Caenorhabditis elegans: one gene and its partners. The protein of the gene in region 1 interacts with the protein of each later gene in a pairwise test. Each region holds a gene or a part of one and is shown in the gene's direction. Other genes may lie near its edges.

The links.
Region 2: the proteins of mrg-1 (region 1) and smut-1 interact in a two-hybrid assay, tested with the Caenorhabditis elegans proteins (one study listed by BioGRID).
Region 3: the proteins of mrg-1 (region 1) and rfp-1 interact in a two-hybrid assay, tested with the Caenorhabditis elegans proteins (2 studies listed by BioGRID).
Region 4: the proteins of mrg-1 (region 1) and ZK1127.3 interact in a two-hybrid assay, tested with the Caenorhabditis elegans proteins (2 studies listed by BioGRID).

What each region holds. Positions count from the first base shown.
Region 1 is NC_003281.10:12,870,736-12,876,509, reverse strand, and holds mrg-1 (Mortality factor related protein 1), read left to right. Parts: upstream 1-1,855; coding exon 1,856-2,350; intron 2,351-2,409; coding exon 2,410-2,558; intron 2,559-3,478; coding exon 3,479-3,698; intron 3,699-4,842; coding exon 4,843-4,992; 3' UTR 4,993-5,236; downstream 5,237-5,774. Other genes in the region: cec-7 (Chromo domain-containing protein), read left to right, coding at 2-286, 338-643; spcs-2 (Signal peptidase complex subunit 2), read right to left, coding at 883-1,344, 1,399-1,479. UniProt on the Caenorhabditis elegans protein: Protein involved in the remodeling of chromatin thereby regulating various processes including transcription, chromosome synapsis and genome integrity.
Region 2 is NC_003283.11:6,095,384-6,099,630, forward strand, and holds smut-1 (Synthetic MUTator), read left to right. Parts: upstream 1-1,721; coding exon 1,722-1,854; intron 1,855-1,901; coding exon 1,902-2,429; intron 2,430-2,476; coding exon 2,477-2,982; intron 2,983-3,030; coding exon 3,031-3,198; intron 3,199-3,280; coding exon 3,281-3,508; 3' UTR 3,509-3,700; downstream 3,701-4,247. Other genes in the region: Y38A10A.7 (N-alpha-acetyltransferase 40), read left to right, coding at 828-928, 974-1,312, 1,364-1,520; crt-1 (Calreticulin), read right to left, coding at 3,789-4,031, 4,087-4,247.
Region 3 is NC_003281.10:8,356,705-8,363,076, forward strand, and holds rfp-1 (E3 ubiquitin-protein ligase bre-1), read left to right. Parts: upstream 1-1,917; 5' UTR 1,918-1,922; coding exon 1,923-2,048; intron 2,049-2,102; coding exon 2,103-2,270; intron 2,271-2,319; coding exon 2,320-2,459; intron 2,460-2,508; coding exon 2,509-2,992; intron 2,993-3,054; coding exon 3,055-3,180; intron 3,181-3,271; coding exon 3,272-3,892; intron 3,893-4,020; coding exon 4,021-4,409; intron 4,410-4,458; coding exon 4,459-4,839; intron 4,840-5,305; coding exon 5,306-5,384; 3' UTR 5,385-5,779; downstream 5,780-6,372. Other genes in the region: Putative RNA-binding protein R05D3.8, read right to left, coding at 283-462, 532-630, 752-841, 895-1,190, 1,240-1,387, 1,438-1,560; R05D3.9 (uncharacterized protein), read right to left, coding at 5,780-5,884, 5,934-6,055, 6,148-6,372. UniProt on the Caenorhabditis elegans protein: E3 ubiquitin-protein ligase that mediates monoubiquitination of 'Lys-117' of histone H2B. H2B 'Lys-117' ubiquitination gives a specific tag for epigenetic transcriptional activation and is also prerequisite for histone H3 'Lys-4' and 'Lys-79' methylation.
Region 4 is NC_003280.10:7,053,624-7,056,727, forward strand, and holds ZK1127.3 (EAF7 family protein), read left to right. Parts: upstream 1-1,663; 5' UTR 1,664-1,673; coding exon 1,674-1,764; intron 1,765-1,809; coding exon 1,810-1,980; intron 1,981-2,025; coding exon 2,026-2,261; intron 2,262-2,302; coding exon 2,303-2,425; 3' UTR 2,426-2,550; downstream 2,551-3,104. Other genes in the region: ZK1127.13 (Phage tail protein), read left to right, coding at 1-114; ZK1127.4 (Protein BCCIP homolog), read left to right, coding at 327-680, 728-1,240, 1,292-1,474; cth-2 (Putative cystathionine gamma-lyase 2), read right to left, coding at 2,693-3,104.

The sequences.
Region 1 (5,774 bases):
GTCCGCCAGCAGCCGAGCCGAGGATGGTGAGAGCAGCTCAACAAATGATGCAGCTGGCACAAGATTCGTAATCGGCGAGCTAGTCGCATGCACCTACAAGGGAAAAGTATATGACGCGGTCATCACCGACATCAAGCCCGACAAGGATGGAAAGGAGTGCTACTGCATTCACTTCAAAGGATGGAACAATCGTTACGATGAGCAAATTCCAATCGGCGAGGAGACAGACCGTATTTTTAAAGGGATAGCAGATGGTTACCGAGCTCCAGTTGTCACAATGCGCAAGGTACTGCTCAGAGAATATTGAAGCTTTAAATAATAAATTTTGCATTTTCAGTCCGCTAGAAACCATGAAAAATCCACAGAGCCTCAAGCGACGAAAGAGAACGCTCCGCGGCTAGTCGGAAAACGTAGAGAACAATTCATAATCGGTGAGCAAGTCACGTGCACACAGAACGGAAAGCCATATGACGCGTACATCGTTGACATCATAACCGACACTGATGGGAAGGATTTTTACTGCGTTCACTTCAAAGGATGGAACAGCCGTTACGATGAGAAAATTCCAGTCGGCGAGGAGCAGGGTCGATTGTTCAAGGGCTCGGCCGCGAAGTACGCAGAGATGCTCGAGATGAAGAAGTAGATGGGATCTGCTAATAAATTGTTAAATTGCTAAAATTTTGTGTTTGTTAATTGTTCTTTTCAAGCTATTTGTACAATGAATTCTTACCGAAATTGACAAGTTCATATTGTATAAAATGCTGGAAATATTAGCTTTTGACAGACAAGAAACAGGATAGATGGAGAGAGAAAGGGGCACCCATGAAAAGCGAAGAAAAGGGGAAATAAATTAGGCCAAGAAAACCAGATAAATTAAATAAATTATTGTTCGCTACGAATCAAGCGGTTGTACAAGTCGTCGACCTCCTTCTTCACAAGTGGCACGATGATCTCTCCATCGTTATCGATATAAGCTCCGATAGATTTCGTGATTTTTCCCTGTCCAGAGCGTCCTTCCTTCTTAAACTCGGCCGACAGCGTGTACTTATCGTCGTGAGCCTTGATCTCCGAGCTCCACGCCCATTTTCTCGATTGTTTTCCGTCGACTTCGGTGGCCTCGTAGATGCAGTCCTTCTCGACGTACCACTGATACATTTGAAGAATTCCCATGCATATGAAGTAGGAAACCGAGCACACGGCGAGCACGATTTTCGACTTTGGGAACGGCTCGTAGTAGTCGTAGCCGCAGGCGAACGCGGAGAACGCGACGCCGATGAATGAGATGAGAAGACGCAGATTCATTAGATTATGCGATTCCGTCCATCCGACTTTGTCGTTCAGAATCTGAAACGAAAGATTTTAATTTTAATTTTAATTTTGGAGTTTCGGAGAGCAAACCTTTTTGACGACTTCATCAAGGGCATTCTTCACTGTTGGACCGTCCCATTTGTTCACAACTTTCACCGGCTCGTCCGTCATCTGAAAATTAATATATTTGAGAATAAAAATTGAATAGAAATCCAAAAAAACCCAAAAGAAATGAGCAAAAAGCTAGTGGTGACGTCTCAAAATTGGAAGTCTGCATTATTGCGTCGTGGTGTTTGCGTACTTTTTCGTGCGCGGCGCTATTGCATTTGCTTAGAAAACCGCGCCGCAGGGGGGTTTGAATTGCGAAAATGCCGTTGAGCTTTGAGAAAAGCTTTTTTTTTGTTTTTATCGATAAATTTATCGAATTTTCGATATTTTTAATCTATTTTTTGATTAAAAATCGTTCAAATATACATCATTGGCTAGAATTGCTGCTAAAACTCGCTTAAAACACCAATTAATCGATTAATTTCTTTAATTCCTTCAGATGTCTTCAAAGAAGAACTTCGAAGTCGGCGAGAACGTCGCGTGCATCTACAAAGGCAAACCATACGATGCCAAAATTACTGATATCAAAACCAACAGCGATGGCAAGGAACTCTACTGCGTTCACTTCAAGGGCTGGAACAATCGATACGATGAGAAAATCCCAGTCGGCGAGGAGAAAGACCGCATTTTCAAGGGAACAGCCTCGGAGTATGCAGAGAAACACAACGCAGAGCTGCCAACAACTGCATTGAAGCCGAAGAAGAAAAGTCTTGCGGCTGAAGCACCACGAGACGATCGTGATGACACTCCGGGGACGTCGAAGGGAAAAAAGGCGAAATCGGTGACAATTGCGCCGGTTATGACCGCCGACGATATGAAGGTCGAGCTTCCGAAGCCACTGAGAAAGATCCTGATCGATGACTACGATCTTGTCTGCCGTTATTTCATAAACATCGTGCCACACGAGTATTCAGTTGATCAAATCATCGAGGACGTAAGCATAAAAAAAATTAAAATATCATTTTTTCCGATTTTCAAATCCAACATTTTCAGTACATCAAAACCATTCCGGTCAGTAATGAGCAAATGAGAACGGTCGATGATCTGCTCATCGAATACGAGGAAGCTGATATAAAAATCACGAATTTGGCTCTGATTTGCACCGCGCGTGGACTCGTCGACTATTTTAATGTCACTTTGGGGTTGGTTAATTCGAATATGTTAAACAGATGCATGCAAATTGCACGTAGCCCAATGTTTAGTACCACTGCAACTTTTTTCGAACGAGGGACGAGGAAAAGCGGTTTCTAGCCCATGGCCGAGGGGCCGACAAGTTTCAGCGGCCATTTATCTTGCTTTGTTTTCCGCGTGTTTTCTTTAATTTTTCATAGACTTTTCCCGTTTTTTTCTTATTAAAACTAAATAAAAGATAAATAAATATTTTTGCAGATGCCAAAACAATTTCCAAGTGAAAAAATTATGTATTCAGTCGGCAAGTAGCGGTGAAAGTGCTCAATGTTATATGATGGATTACGGGAATACTAAATCTAAACCTTTTCTGAAACATGGTATATATTCTGCTTAGAGACTGAAACTACCCGATTTTCATCATAACGAGACCGCTGAAAAAGATTTGAGATTTTCAAAATTCAACTTTTTGTGCAAAAATCTCAGAACTTTTTGAGCGGTCTCGTTATGAAAATCGAATAGTTTCAGTCTCTAAGCAGAATAAATGCCATGTTTCAGAAAAACGATTAGGTTTAGTATTACCGTAATCCATCATATAACATTGACCACTTTCACCGCTTCTTGCCGACTGAATACACAATTTTTTCACCTGGAAATTGTTTTGGCATCTACAAAAATATTTATTTATCTTTTATTTAGTTTTAATAAGAAAAAACGGAAAATTTTTTTGAAAAACAAAAGAAAACACGCGGAAAACAAAGCAAGATAAATTGCCGCTAAGTCTTGTCGGCCCCTCGGCCATGGCCTAGAAACCGCTTTTCCTCGTCCCTCGTTCGATAAAAGTAGCAGTGAGTACACATAATGCCCTCCGCTTCGTAGAATAGTCGCCCCAATCCCACTTGAAACAGTTACGATGTAAGGATGAATTGTTTAGTTCCAGCTACCAACTGCTCTATAAGTTCGAGCGGCCACAGTACAATGACCTTGTCAAAAAGCGAGCTATGGAGAAGGGAATCGACATCACAAACCCGACCGCCCTGCAGGATAGTGGATTCCGTCCATCTCAAGAGTACGGAATTGTGCATTTCTTGAGAATGCTCGCAAAGCTCCCGGACTACCTGAAGCTCACTCAATGGAATGATCATGTTATTAACGTATGTTCGAAGTTCAACTCCTGGAGCGTCTCCTGAATCTGGTTTCCACACGGAATCTGTTTTTTTTTGGCGAAAAGGTGTAAAATTTGGAAAAATTAGGCCGAAAATTGGATCGAAACCGTCAATTTTCTCGATTTCAGGATCATAAAAAATCCCATTTTGTAGGGAATAAGCAGATTCACAAAACATTGATTTTTAAAATTGAAAAATGGGGAAATTGCCTTGTTTAATTTTAAAAATCAATTTTTTTTTGTGAATCTGCGTTTTCTCCACAAAATTGAATATTTTACGATCCTGAAATCGAAAAACTGACGGTTTCGATCCAGTTTGAGGCCAAATTTCCAAAATTTACATTTTTTCAATGCGTATCATTTTTCTCAACATTAATATAAATAAAAAATAGCAAAAAAAAACGATTTTCCGTGAATTCAGGAGCCCGAAATTGCTTTAAAACACGCCTATGGGACCACAATGACAGAATATCATGATAAAAAATTCAAAAAAATTTTATAAATTTTATATGATTTTTTGAAAATTGGAAAAATCTCAGTTTTCACCTAATTATTTTTGAATTACCGTCAATTGGATTTGTTCGATGGAGCGAGCTTGCATTATTTTCATTAATTAATTTTATTTTTTCTCGTTATTTGACTGGTTTTCTTCATTTTCTATGTTTTTTCCTCGGAAAATGAAAGAAATAAATAGGACAAATGCGAAATGTTTGTTAAAAAGTAATTGAAAATGCGTAAAACTGTGATATTCTGAGTTCCGACAAGCCTGAGATTAGTATATTTCACAGTTTTACTCATTTTCAATTACTTTTTAACAAACATTTCGCATTTGTCCTTTTTAAAAGCATAGAAAATGAAGAAAACCAGCCAAATAACGAGAAAAAATAAAATTAATTAATGAAAATAATGCAAGCGCGCTCCATCGAACAAATCCAATTGACGGTAATTCAAAAATAATTAGGTGAAAACTGAGATTTTTTCAATTTTCGAAAAATCATATAAAATCTAGAAATTTTTTTTTGAATTTTTTTAATCATGATATTCGGTCATTGTGGTACCATAGGCGTGTTTTAAAGCAATTTCCCCACTGAGCGTAGTCCCATGCTCCAAAAATAAAATAAATCAATTTTCAGCGCATCATGATTGGAGTTCACGATTTGATTGTGTTCCTGAATAAGAATCACGGGAAGTACTACAGAGGATCGTCTGATTATCAAGGTGCCTCCAACGACTACTATCGCCGATCTCTCGCCGCCGACGACGGAGTTGGAGCGAATCAATAGACTGATCTCCTTCATCATGTGTTCCATCCCAGACGATCTTCAATACACCGATATAACTTCAATAATTTTATACATTGTTCATTATTTTCCAAAGCTAGCCCCACCATTATGTTTTTGTGAAATCGTGGAGATCCATATTTTGTTCACGTTAATCTCACGTTTTCTGACGACTTCCACATTTCGCATTCCATTATCGTTCAATTTTCCGTTTAGTTGTTTCCCAACTATTCTAATGAATATGATTCTCATTTTCTTTTCAATAGCCCCCCACATTCATATTTTTCCAGATTCTTCTTCTCTTCCAACTCCCCGCCATTTTTAGCCTATCGAGATTTGATATAATGTCTGCGTGCCCCCAAAACTATTCCATCTCGCATTCCACGTGCCAGACTGGAAAGAAGAGGAAGACTGAAGATTTTTTTGAATATTAGAATATACTTTTTTCTTCCGATTTTGAAGTTTCATGATTAAGATGGTTAAATATTGAGAATGCTTATTGAACAACATAACTGACCCGCAAAATATCTCGTAGCGAAAATTCTTGTCGATTTACGGGCTCGATTTTCGAATTGAATTTATTTTTAAATAGTGACAGCGATATTTAATTTTCTTCTATCACTATTCAAACAATTCAAAAATCCGGGTCCGTAAATCGACACTACAGTAGTCATATTACTGTAGTTTTTGCTACAAGATATTTTGCGCGTCGGATATGTTGTTCAATACGCATTCTCAAAAATTACAAGAAGTTGTCTTTTTTTGAAAAGAAATTTTTGAGTCTC
Region 2 (4,247 bases), on another chromosome or scaffold:
AATTTTCGTCCATTTTTTGAGACCCGAAGAACTCGGGGGATGTCCAATTGGGGGGATTACCAACTCGGGGGATTGGCCCCGCCCACAGAACCGTGGCTTGCAATACGCCCATTTCTGCCGCACGGTTTTTCATAACTGCCGCACGGTTTTAAAATTATTTTTTCTTGTTATTTCTCGCTCTATTGAGAAAAATACAGTTTTAAAACCGTGCGGCAGTTGCAGAAATGGGCGTATTGCAAGCCACGGTTCTGTGGGCGGGGCCAATCCCCCGAGTTGGTAATCCCCCCAATTGGACATCCCCCGAGTTCTTCGGGTCTCAGACTTCTGAACTTTTCGCATGGTTAAGAACGTGCTGTCGTAACACTTTTTGTATATTTCTATTAAACATCGTTTTTTATGCTGGATAGCTGTTTTATTTCTAATAATAAAAATTGAAAATATCTAACTAGCATTCAATTTCAGATGATACAGCGAAGAATGACCCTGAAAATATTAGCTAGGAGACATATTACAACTTAAAACATACGAAATGTAAATTTGTTTCCGATTATCAACAAAATTGTACATTTTAACGATATTTTTATCAATAAAGACTAATTTTTACATATAAATGTTAATTTAAAGCAAATCCGTGACTTGACGTGATGGTGTTTGCACACTTTTCACCACAATATACGACATTCAAGTTATATGCATTTTTTTCAAATGATTCTATCCTTTCTTTTCAGTATTCTTTACGGTTTTATTGATCAATTTGTCACCAGTATAATCGATCATGTTTTATTTCTCAATAATTGTAAAACAATTTTTCAGATATCGGCCCAAAAATGCCCGTAGACTCGAAAAAATTGGTCAAAAAAGCTTGTCAGCACATAAAACCAGTTGAGAAATTCGAATGCGAGACACAAAGAAGTACTACAACTGATGGGTAGGATCTTTGAATGATTTTCAAATTAATCTTTATTATTTTCAGCGAAACTATCAAATTCGATTACATGTGGGCGACACATTTGAGTGATGAAGACTTCGAGTGGGTGTTCAGTTTATTCAAAGAGAACATGTACGATATGTATCACAAATCCCAGTGGGGATACGATGAAAATTCCAAGCGAAACGAACTTCGTGCAACAACATCAAGGTTCATCATCGCGAAGAATTCGAAAGGGGATAAAATTGGCTATACCACTTATCGATTTGTGGTCGATCACAACATTCCTGTGGCATATTGTTGGGAACTTCAAATTGTACCGGCTTATCAGAACAAAGGAATCGGTGGCATGATGCTCGACACGCTGGAAAAGCTCTCTTCAAAGTACAGTTTCAATTAATTCGAGAGCCAATAAACAAAAACTCTTATTTTCAGGACAAACATGAGTAAAGTCATGGCAACAGTTTTTCTGTATAATGGACCGTCGCTCGGCTTCTTTCACAAACATGGATACAACAGCGACGTGACGTGCCCATCCGATGATTCTGGTCTGGATTATGCGATCCTGTCGAAAGAGACACCGAGCACATAAGAATATTAAATTCTGATTCTATGATTTTCTAATTTGTTATCATCTTCATTCTGGCTTAATTGTTACATGTATTTTTTTTTGGGTAAACAAACGTTTTTTATATTTCTACTTTTATAATATTGTGTCGTAAAAACCGTTACTTTTCGTTCAAATATTTATTTTCAAACCAAAATATAAACATTTTTGTAATAATCTTTGTAGATGCCTCATCCTTGGAACACTGCCGATGCATTAGACGATAGTCGGGTACAAGTTGAGCACATTGATTTAGTTCCTCCAAAGTATGCAAATGTACTCAACTTCAGATCTATTAAAACTAGAGATTATTATTTTGGTAAACCATGTTCTGGGCAATTAAATATTTCAATAACTTTTCTTCAGCAATGAGAGATCGTCATCAGCAGTTGGGCGCAGTCACATCTTCAAAAGCTGAAACTGACAAATTGAATAAACACTGTGAGGAGAACACGATAATGGTGGATCAAGACGGAGTAGAAACTCCAGCTGATTATGGAACAGAGAGGATGGTTGCACATGCAATAGAAGATCACCGACTTGCCGCCAATTTGCAACGAATAAAAGTTCATATTCTGAATGCAGTTCAACAAAAATCAATTCAAGCTATTCGTGACCGCCGAGGACTTCTAGTGGATGCTCCAACTGGAATCGGGAAGACTTATGCGTTTCTTATTCCGGCGATTGAAATTGCATTGAGGGAGCGACCATTGCTTACCAATATTTCAACCACGCCATCACCAACTATTCTTATTCTTGCAAATACCAACTCACTCGTTGAACAACTTTTTAATCGTTGTGAAGTTCTTCTTGGTTTGATAGATATGGAAGATATTATACCTATTCGAGATATTAAAATTGAAAAACTAGTTGCTAGCTATCAGTTCACAAAAGGTTCGTTACAGCATTCGTCTAACCAAAAAAAAACGAATTCTTTATAGATCAATGCGATATTGCGTTCTGTACGATGGGAAAGCTGAAAGCATCGATCGAGGATAAAACAATTCTTCTTGACAATTTGAAAATGATGATTTTGGATGAATCTGATAAAATGATTGACATTGCATGCTTCGGAAATGACATTGATTGGGTTTTAGACCAACTACAAGAGGATGTGCTCAGAAATCTTCAATCTTGTTTCTTTTCTGCGTCTCACAACAGAAACGAAGATGGTTCAATTGCATTAACTTCACGTCAATCAAGAATGTTAGGTGAAAATCCATGGTCACTGATCCATTGTCCGAGATTGCCTGGATATATCACTCAACGAGTTATTCGAATTGGTGGACAGCGAGTAAATGATATCCATTCGAATCCTTGGATCGTTAAGATGAATATTATTTGTAAATTGTTAGATGATGATCTCAAGGAAATGGGAAGCACAAAAGAAGGCCCATGGAAGCATACTATTGCAATTTTCTGTGAAACTGTCTCAAGAGTTATTCAGGTTTTACCCCTATTCTTTCGATTTTAAAAATATTGAGAACATTTTCAGGTAACTATGGCACTTCGTCAGATGGGATATAATTTCAAACCTGTATGCAGTAGTGTGTTGAAACAACAACAAGCAATCACTTTGAATGATTTGGAGTTTTGCAACATTCATGGAGTTGTATGTACCAATATTATGTCGAGAGGAATCGATGTGTCTTCTGTGAAACAGGTAAGTTTACATATATATTAAATTGATAAAAACATGGCTACTATTGACCCAAATATTTTTTATCTTAAGTCACATATTTCAGACAATAATCATGGAAATGTCCACCGATTTTCCGAGCTACATGCATAGAATCGGACGAGTTGGTCGCGATGGATGTGGTGGAAGAGCTACTGTCCTCATCGATGAGCATCATTTATTTGGCGGACCAATGTCGAATATTATCGAGCAGCTGTGTTCTTTTATGCTCGAATGCGAGGAAACGCTTCCCAATTGGCTTGTAGAATGGCTGAAGTTGCGTCAATCACTTTAATTGAATCACATATCAATTTCCTATTTTGTGCCGGTTTTTATCGCTTTTCTATGTATCTGATCCTGTATTTTATATTCATTGAACTAATCGAACTCGTAAATAGGTTTTAAAATTTTTTTATTATAAAACAAGAAAGGCTATCCAGCATCAAAATGGATGCTCAATAAATTAATAAAACAATCAATTAACCCGAGAGAATAGGAGAGACTTGAATGCGGGGGAATTGTGATGGAGTGGGGGCGATTGTATGAAGCGAGTTGAAAAGCTGTGCACGATTTGCTTAGAGCTCATCGTGTCCTTCCTCCTCTTCCTTCTCCTCCTCATCATCATCCTTCTTGGCCTCCTTCTCCTCCTCGGCCTTCTTGCGAGCCTCCTCCTCAGCCTTGCGGGTTTCTTCGTCGGCCTTCTCCTTCTTTTCCTTCTCAACAGTCTTCAATTTGTCAAAAGTCTCGGCAGCATGGGCCTCGGCCTCCTCAACAGAGTCGGTGATGATAATGTTGTCAAAGATCGTTCCTGACTTGACCTGAAAAAATAAAGTTTGAGTTTCATTTTTGAAAAATAGAATAAAAGTTTCTTACCTGCCACAAATCGAATCCGATGGCTCCCCAGCTTTCATAAGAGTAGAGTTCATCATCAGGAGTGTACTCTGGGTTCTCAATCTCTGGATGGATCCACTTGCCCTTGTAGGCTGGGTTCTTGATCTGCTTTGGCTTCCACTCACCCTTGTATTCTGGGTTGT
Region 3 (6,372 bases), 4.5 Mb from region 1:
AATGTATTGGCATCGTGAAGAGACACAGAGATACATCCGTGGTTCCCTGTGTTCTCTTCATTTTGTATAATGTTTTATTCTCGGTCAGAGGGACAACGGACGGCCTCTTCAAACACTCACAGAACATTCGCTCACTGCGCTCACTAGTAGAGAATAAAGGAAGTTACGAGAGAATGAAACTTCGAAGATAAATCAATTTTATTTTTTAAAATCAATGTTCGTAAACTTCGAATTAAGTGAAACCGTAATTTGAGATATATGAGTTTTGTTTGATCATCACAGCTACCATTTTCTCGGTCCATAGCCACATTGAGACAATGGATCTGATTCTGGTGGTTGATGATATAGTGGTGCATATCCTGCTGCTGCAGATGGATCATAGTGATTTGATGAAGCAGATGATGAGGCATGTACAGAAGTTACGGGACGTGACGGCGTTAGATAAGCAGTGTGATTTGGAGGCTGAAAATGTAATGCAATATTTTAAAACACGTTTTACAAGATAATTTATTTAAACTTTATAAAACTTACTAGTTGCACGAGGTTTTGTTGTTCCTGCTCTTTTATCTTATGTTCCGCTATTTTAACGGACTCCTTCAATACAGCACGTCGGGTGAACATCAGAACATCCTGAAAAATGTTTCATAACGCGTTATAATACGAGGTTGCAATCAAGTCCTGATGACTACGCCTGATATTGTTTGTTGAAGAATTAGTCGCATCTTTTTTTGAAAGCATTCTATATTCTCACCCTGATGTATATTGACTTGGTTAGAAGAACATCAACAGATCTGGAGTCTGCGAAAGTTATAATGCAGAAGTGAAGCGGCCCTTCTGAATCCTGCAACAATAAAAATTAACATGAAATAAACATACAAATAATTAAAAACTTACACTGACAAATTCTACATCTGTGATTTTTCCGTAGGCTCCAAAATTCATTTTCAGTTCTTTTGAAGTTAATCTGTCTAGTGGAAAATAAGAAACAAAAAGTCGTTTTGATTCTACTTTCAACTTCTTATCATTTTCATCTTTTGCTGGCTCAACAGTGCATTTGGCTCGATCGATTTCATGAATATCTGATTTCATGCAATTTGAATATCCGTTCGAATCAACGAAAGTGATGTAGGCGTAGCCTGCGCTAGTCTTTCTCGGCTCTTTGATAAATGCTTCACCTTCTCCAATTTTTTCTGGAACTCGGCATTTTTACTTTTTTCAAAAGCTTTCGAACTTACGTACTCATGTAACTCTCAAAATCGCCGTGTTTTTCAACATCGTATCGTTCGACATCGAGCTCGTCATCTAATACATCATCATTTTCCACAGGCTCATATCGAATCGATGATCGTGTTGAAATTTTCTCCTCGTCTGGTCCATTGTCGAATACCTATAAAATGAAAATAATGACATTTTCTATCAGAACAAGAGTTTCTGTACCGAATATCTAGGAGGAGGAGGTAGAATGCACTCGTATAAAGTTCCAAATTGTTCAAAATATTTTTTAACTGTCGATTCCGTTGTATAGCTATCCAATCCTTGCACAAAAATCCTTTTTACCATTGTTATTTGGACGAAAGACCGAAATTTGAGGAGAAAAAAACGAATTAAGAATTCGAAAGTCCCGCAAGTCTCGTAAATGCTGTTCGGTCGTAAATCTACCCCATTTCCGTCTCTTGACCGTAGTCACACACTCTCTCACTCAGGTCTCGCAACGAAAAGAGTGCCATTTGAAATGTCTCTTTGGAAATCTTTTTGTAATCACCTTTTTTGCACTCCAAAAACAATAAAATTGTCATCAAATCTGTTCAAAAACATTGATTAAGTATCCGTTAATATGTTTAAAATCTTTTCCTTGTTTTCCCTGCTTTCTACCATCTCTTTAACATTTTGTATACAATATTAGAAACGTATTGATTTCAGGTATGATGAAAAGAAGTAATGAAGGTATAGGAGGAGAAAATTATGCAAGTAGCCCGAGTGACGATGGACAACAAAAACGACGCAAAATTCAATTCGAACCGGTCCGAATGCCCGCTGTTAGCAACGTGGTATGTCTTTCATTTAAAATCGAGGATACTATTAATAATCCCTAACGATTTCAGAACGATATAAGAGCTCGTGCCGTAGTTTATCAGACATCTAAATTAAAGCAGCAATTGTTGTACAAAAATAAGCGAATAGCCGAATTGGAAAAAGAAAATGAACGGTCCAAGAGGCGGCAGCAGACAGACGAAAGCAACTTTCTGAAGGTTTATAATATGTTCTCAGATGTACGTTTTTACTTATTTTCAGATTGCAATTAGTTATTTTCTTTTTCAGATTGAGAAATACATATGTACACAAACTAAGAATGAGTTTGGAGAATACATCGGAGGAGACACTGCACCAACTGGTATAGACGTTCTTGGAATGACTAATGAAACATATAACAAGTTCTTTGATCAGGCAAAGCAGAATTTGTGAGTTTTAAATTATTAAAATTCACTCTTAATTTACATATTTCTATAGACGGAATGCATTCGTATCGTATGCTAAAGCGCGCCACGATCGGGCTCACGAATCCACCATTTTCATCGATAAACTAAAAACATTGATCGATTCTCCTACCTTCAATCCAAATGGTGTCCATAAGGAGCTTACAGCCAAAGCAGCAAGTTTAGCTATACAAAATGAAAAGCTTCAATCCGAAGTTACCAAAGTTCAAAGCGATTGTTACAATTTGGAACGGAAAAAGCGTATTCTAACGGATAAGCTTTCTGTACAAGAGAACAGAGTTCAAGAATTAGAACATCAATTGGAAGATGCCCGATTTGAAACTGACAAACATATGCGTCTTGCTAACAAATTTGAGTACAAACTAGCCACCCTCGTCTCGGAGGGACAGTCTGGAGGGAACGGAGGGGCGACACCGTCTTCGTCGGGTACAACAAATGCTACTGAGAAGAAGATATCAGCTCCAGATATTCCACCAAGTGAAACAGCTGCAAAAGAAGTGAGATTTAAAAATTTTTTATCAATCGAAATGAATAACGCATTTTTAAAAAATAATTTCAGATCGAAAATCTGCGTCTTGAACGAGATGAACAGGAATCCATTGCATCACGACGCCTTCAAGATCTCGAGGAGATGAATAAAAAAGTTCAAACATTAACACAGGAAAATAGCAAGCTAAGACTAGAGGTACCGTTTTGACTATATATTAATTTTTATCCATTACAAAAATATGAAATTTTTACCCGAATTTCTTCTATTACCTCTGAAATAGTTGCAGACACAAACTTTCTTCTCTGTGGATTCAATTGTCAACTCGGAGGAATACAAGAATCTTAAAAAGTACTACTCATTAGCAATTAAAGAATACGAGCGAGTCAGCAAAGATCTTGAAGATATCACAACAGAACGTGATGCTTTCCGCAGTGCAAAGGAAGCTCGTGCAATGCTAATGTCTGAAGAACATCAGAAGACGCTGAAGGAAATTCAATGTCAATCGGATATTCACAATTCTTTCTACAAAGTATCTCATGACAGTGAAGTTCTACGCTGCGAATTCGAAACTGTTAAGGAAGAATATAATAAGACGGTGAAGCAAAGCGAGTGGGATGAAATGAAAGCAACTTTGAATACTCTACGATCTATGAATAGATCGTTAAAATCAGAGAAAATTCGTTTGCGCGAAAAGGATAAGCAATCTCAAAAAGATATCAACACTCTCAAGTCTGAGTTAACTTCACTGAAAGAAGCCCAGGATAAATGTCTACTTGTTCCTCTTGAAGACGTTAGTAATGCTCCACCGGAAGATGTTAATAAAATTCGTCAAGAATACGAATCTTTGTGTAAAGAAGTAAAACGACTGGGAGCAATGGAAAAACAGGAGAAGCAGAAACAAGTCGAAGTAAGTCATTGTACCTTATTTGACAAAAATGTGTTTTCAAAGTACACGTCCTTTCGTTATTTGGTACTTTCAGTAAACTCTAAAACATTATTTCTGCGTCTGTTCATATCTCTACAATCCCGTGTGAGAATTTACAGAAAGAAGTCAATCGTCAAATTGCTGATAAATTGTCCGAATTGGAGACTCTTCGTAAGACCAATGAAATGCTGACTAATGACGAAGAATGCATATCTGATGAGTTAGAAGCCATTGGAACAGCTGTAGAAGAAGAACAAGAACGGAATGCTCAACTGTACATTGAGAAGCGGGAACAGGAGGATCGAAATCTGAAAATGATGAATGATCGAATGATTCAGAATCAGACATTTAATCGATTGCGTGAAAAATTGTCTTGTTTGGAAAGTAAAGCACAAACAGATGCTCAAATAGCAAAAATGCACGAATTTGAGAAGAAAGCAAATGAAGAGTTGGTAACTAAACTGTCGGAATCAGTTCAGTTCAAATCTGCCGAATTAACGTTAGTTTTGAATGTTAAGAAATCCATAAATTAAAATATCATTTTTTAGACGTCTCACAAACTTGATGGAACAACATAGAAAGAACATTCAAGAAGTTGGAATGTCACGAGACGAAAACCAAATTAAAGCGGATCGATGTGAAGGTCAAATGAAGCAAATTCAAGAATTATACGCTGCCAAGGCACGTGAAATCGAAGATTTTAAATTCAAGAGACAACGTGCTGAAGAGGAACTTGAGACGCTTCGAATTAAATATGAACGAGTAAAACGAAATGAGTCTGTACCGGCTCAAAGTGGTGATCAAGTCCTCGAGGAAGCGAATCGACAAATGAAAGAAACACTGACTTGTCCATCATGTAAAACGAGGCCAAAGGATTGTATTATGCTCAAATGCTATCATTTATTCTGTGAAACTTGCATTAAGACTATGTTAGTTTCATTTTTCAAACACTAAAATTGGTTGGTTTGACCTAGACGCAAAAATTTTCAATTTTTAATTAAAAAAAATGTATCGACACGCGTCTTTAGAGAGTACTGTAATTTCAAACTCTTGATGCTACGAAATTTTCATCAATTTTTCATAGTTTCTCGATAAAAAATGTCAACTGAATATGAAATTTAAAAAAAACCCGAATTTTAACAAATTGTGAGAATTTGGTATTACAATACCTATTTCTCACAATCTTTTAACTAATAAAAAAGTGCAACTAGTTATGAAAATTCCGCTAAAACAAAAGTCTGAGACTACAGTACTCTTTGAAGACGCACACCTTTTCCCATTTAACAAAACATTTTGTCGTGTATTTTCAGCTTGAAATTTCGCGTCGGAGTAAAACGAAAAATACATATTCAAGCGATATCTCGCATTTCTAGCTTATGATTCAAAAAATTCCAGGTACGACACTCGTCAACGGAAATGCCCGAAATGCAACAGCAACTTCGGAGCCAATGACTTCCATCGTATTTTCATCTAGAACCGCCATTAAATTATTTAGTAAATTTCCTCATTTTCTCAATCTCTCAGTTCAACATGGGTTTCTGTCCTCCGTTTTCTCTGTTTTGGTCCCTTCCCCTCCCCCCACCTCTCACAGCGCAATTTCTAAGCTTCTATCTTAAACTGTCTCATCCTATCAAGTTATTGAATCACTATCTCTATAGTTAGTCGGCTTATATTATTTGAATTCTGTTCTGATACTCTGAATCTCCGTGATGATGCCACGGCACGCACACATCCACAAGTTTATGAACTTTGTTGAAGTTGATATTGATATAATTTTGAAGTTGTAAATTCTTATGTTTTTTCTCATTTTATTAAAAATGTATAGTAATAGTTATTCTTGTTTCAAAAATTATGCATGATGATAATATATCAAAGTTCTGAATGTTGACTAGATTCTGTTGGTGCTCCACCTCCTTGCATAAATGGGCAACCACCACCACCACCCTCTGTAATTGGTGGATGACGAGAGAATGGCTGAAAATTCAAGAGATTTTATTTGACTGGAAACAAAACTTTTACTTACATCGGAATCCAGGAAAAGTGTGTGATCTGGAAGAACAAGAGTCTCCTCGAATCCGAATACTTCGTTCACTTTTTCAACTTGAAGATATCTTAATGGATGTGGCTCTTTTGTTGAGAGAACTTCTGTAATTTCGGTCTCGGCACGATGAATTCTTTGTTAAATTCAACAAAAATCACGAAACTTCGCGTATGGCTAAGTATCTGGAAAAACTCACGATCCGCTTCAGATGTAATAATCATCTGGAGAATTTTCTGAAGATGATCAGGGCATTTAGGCTTTGAAATTGGAATTCGATGCACTCGATCCTTGTTCAAAAACACAATTATTGATTCGTTCTCCCCAACTCCCAATGCTTTTTTGGTTTTCTTAATCATCTCACTTTCCCCATCAATTTTTGTGAAAATATAGGTTTTCCGAGCATCTTGCCGAGCAGACAACT
Region 4 (3,104 bases), on another chromosome or scaffold:
TCGATTCGTGTTTGGCAATGGGACCGAACGTGCGGCGAAAACAATGCTGATCGCACGGCGATTGCACGAGCCTCGAATTATCTTAAAATTGCACAAGCACTTGCTGATGACTAGTTTCAAGTGATTAATTTGTACTCTATTCTAAATATCTCAATTTTTCATTGTGATCTCTTGTGTAACATTATTCAACAAAAATTAAATTTTTTAAATTAACCCACTGTAATAATGTTCACTTTTTATTTGGTTTTAAATGGTTATATACCATTTTTATACTTTATTCATTGTGTCAGTTATATGTTTTTTTATAGTCTATAGCATTTTTCAGAATGGGTCGAGTTTTCAAAAAGAAAGGAGGTGCTAAACGTGAAGCCGAAGAGGAGAAGCAAGAAGAGTTGGTTATGCGAAAGAAGTTGAGAAAAGAGGAAGAACCAGAACCAGTTGAAGACGTAGAAGAAGATGAAGATGTGAGCGATGAGGATGATGAAGATATTGACGATGAAGAAGAGGATGAAGATGAGCAGAACATTATGGATTTCGATTTTGAAGCATATCCACCATCGGAAGATGATCGTGATGGTATTGTGAACATGCTCACTCAGACATTCCTAAGAACAGATATTGACTTGAAAGCAATGTCAGAAGGAATCATCGCTAAAGCACCTCATGGAGTCGTCTTGACTGTAAGTTTTAGTGCATAATTATGTAGTCTTTAAAAAAACATTTTCAGCAAGCTTACGACGATGAGGAAACCGAAGAAGATTATATGGCTTACGGGTTATGTACAACAGTTCCTCTCAATGATAATAAGGATGATGCTCCAAAGTTTATCAAAGACTTATTCACATATGTTTTGAATCGTGCAAAGAAAGGAGCTCCTACTGAAATTTACAAGAAAATTGAAGAAATTCAAGTTTCTGGTGATGGTAAATCGGCGTTGTTTGTCAACGAAAGACTTCTCAATTTTCCGACTATTGTCGTTCCTCAAATCTTTGGAAGCATTCGTGAAGATTTGTCCGGCTTTGAAACGAAATATAAAACTATCATCTACATACAGAAACTGCGCATTGTTGAAACTGATGGATCAGAAGCAAAAGTTGGCGCCAGCTCAAACGGATCTAGTGGAGTAGCTGGAAAAAAGAAAGGAAAAATGGGAAAAGCCGAAAAGAAGCGAGCTGCTGCGGCTGCACTAGCAAATGCTGAAATCGAATTCGACAATCCAGAAGATAGAGTTCTATTTGAGGTGAAATAATAAGGAATCAACTAAATAATTTTCAATCGATTTTATTTTCAGATCAAAGAAGGAAAAGAAATTCATTTCGACTATCCAGTTCACATGGATGTAGAGCCTGGAAGTAAATTCCACAGTACCGAGAAGGATGGAAAGAAATGGAATCCATTCCGTCGCCTTGTCATCATGGATGACAAACGTTTCGATGCATTTTTGAAGAAAGGATCCGATGGAATTATAATTTAATTCTTTTGATATAACTTTATGTTAGATCAATTTTTATACAATTTTTACTGTTGCTGTTGTTGTTGTGTTTTTTATTTTAAAAATAACTTTCTTATTGAATCTAGACTTTCATTGGATTTAATATTTAGTTTATTCTAAATTTATGTTACCTTTTTTTAAAACTTATACGCTTTATGTTTTCTTTCTTAGTTATTTCTAGATGAGAGTCCTTACAAAAAAGACAGAAGAAGAAATTCGTCGTGATTTTTTCGGACCAGTTCAAGAGGCGGCTTGCAAGCCTTATCTTCTAGGTAAGTAGTCTTGTAGCTTCTTTTTTTTTAATGGTCATTTTCCAGATGTTGATCCTCGAAAATCGTGGTGTGAGCTGTCAGAACTCCGTCTGAGCACTTTAATCTGCGAGTTTAAACCGATCGGAATCAATAAACATTTTCATCTAATTGGAATAATTGAACGTATGGGAAAAGTGTTTGACAATGAAAATGCTCAAGTCGAAATATTTCTAAGCGGTCAGTGAACTACTCGTTTAATGTTTTTTAATGATAATTTTTAAGAAGAGAACAGAGTTGCATTCCGTAACCAACAAAGAGACCTCTTGATGGGAGGACGCCCAGAACGAACTTCATATCCGCCTAAATACTTGTGTCGTCCTTCACTTGAAATGATCGAAGATAAGCTCAAAAAATGGTTCGGTCTGAGATTCTGTGAAGAAAATGAATCGTATCCAAGCGAGTTTAATAGTGTCACCGATTACGAACTTCCCGAGTATATCATGGCTGAAGTGCGCGAGGTAATTTTGAAACAATAGATATTGCTTATTTTTGTTCATAGCTTTCAGATAAGAGAGCAGAAAGAGAAAGAAACACAGACAACGGGATCGTCGAGTCGGAAAAGAAGAGTACCATCCCCAGAAGATTGACAGAAGAAGATGAAAATTATGACATTCAAACTTAAATGATCTCTCTATGATTCCTTCTACGCTATCTAATTATAATTCAATGTGTACCTTTCTTTCATATACCAATTGCAAAATATCATGTTATGTATTCCAATTTCTGTTTCGAATAACAATTATCATTTTTCATAGAAAAAATTTATTGGATAGTGTAAGACACAATTTGAGTCGATTAGTTAGAGGTTGTGGTGGAGACGAGTGGGCAATTAAAACTAGTACCGGCTTTCAGATTTGAAACAAATGCATATCATAAAATGATTGAAAAGTTATACTTTTGGAATGGCAATCTTCAAAGCTTGATCCAAATCAGCAACCAAATCATCGAGATCTTCAATTCCAACAGAGATACGGATAAGGTTATCAGTGATTCCAAGAACAATTCGAGTTTCAGCAGGCACTGAAGCATGAGTCATGATAGATGGAAGCTCGGCAAGTGATTCATATCCTCCAAGAGATTCAGCCAAAGTGAATACTTTGAGAGCAGAAAGGAAAGCACGACTCTCTTGAAGTTCTCCTTTAAGATAGAATGAGATCATTCCAGACATTCCCTTTGTTTGTTTCTCATGAACTTCATGTTGTGGATGAGATGGAAGAGCTGGATAGAGAACTGATTCGATACGATCATTGGCTTCAAGGTATTTGGCAACAGCAAGAGCATTTTCATAGTGAGCTCTCATT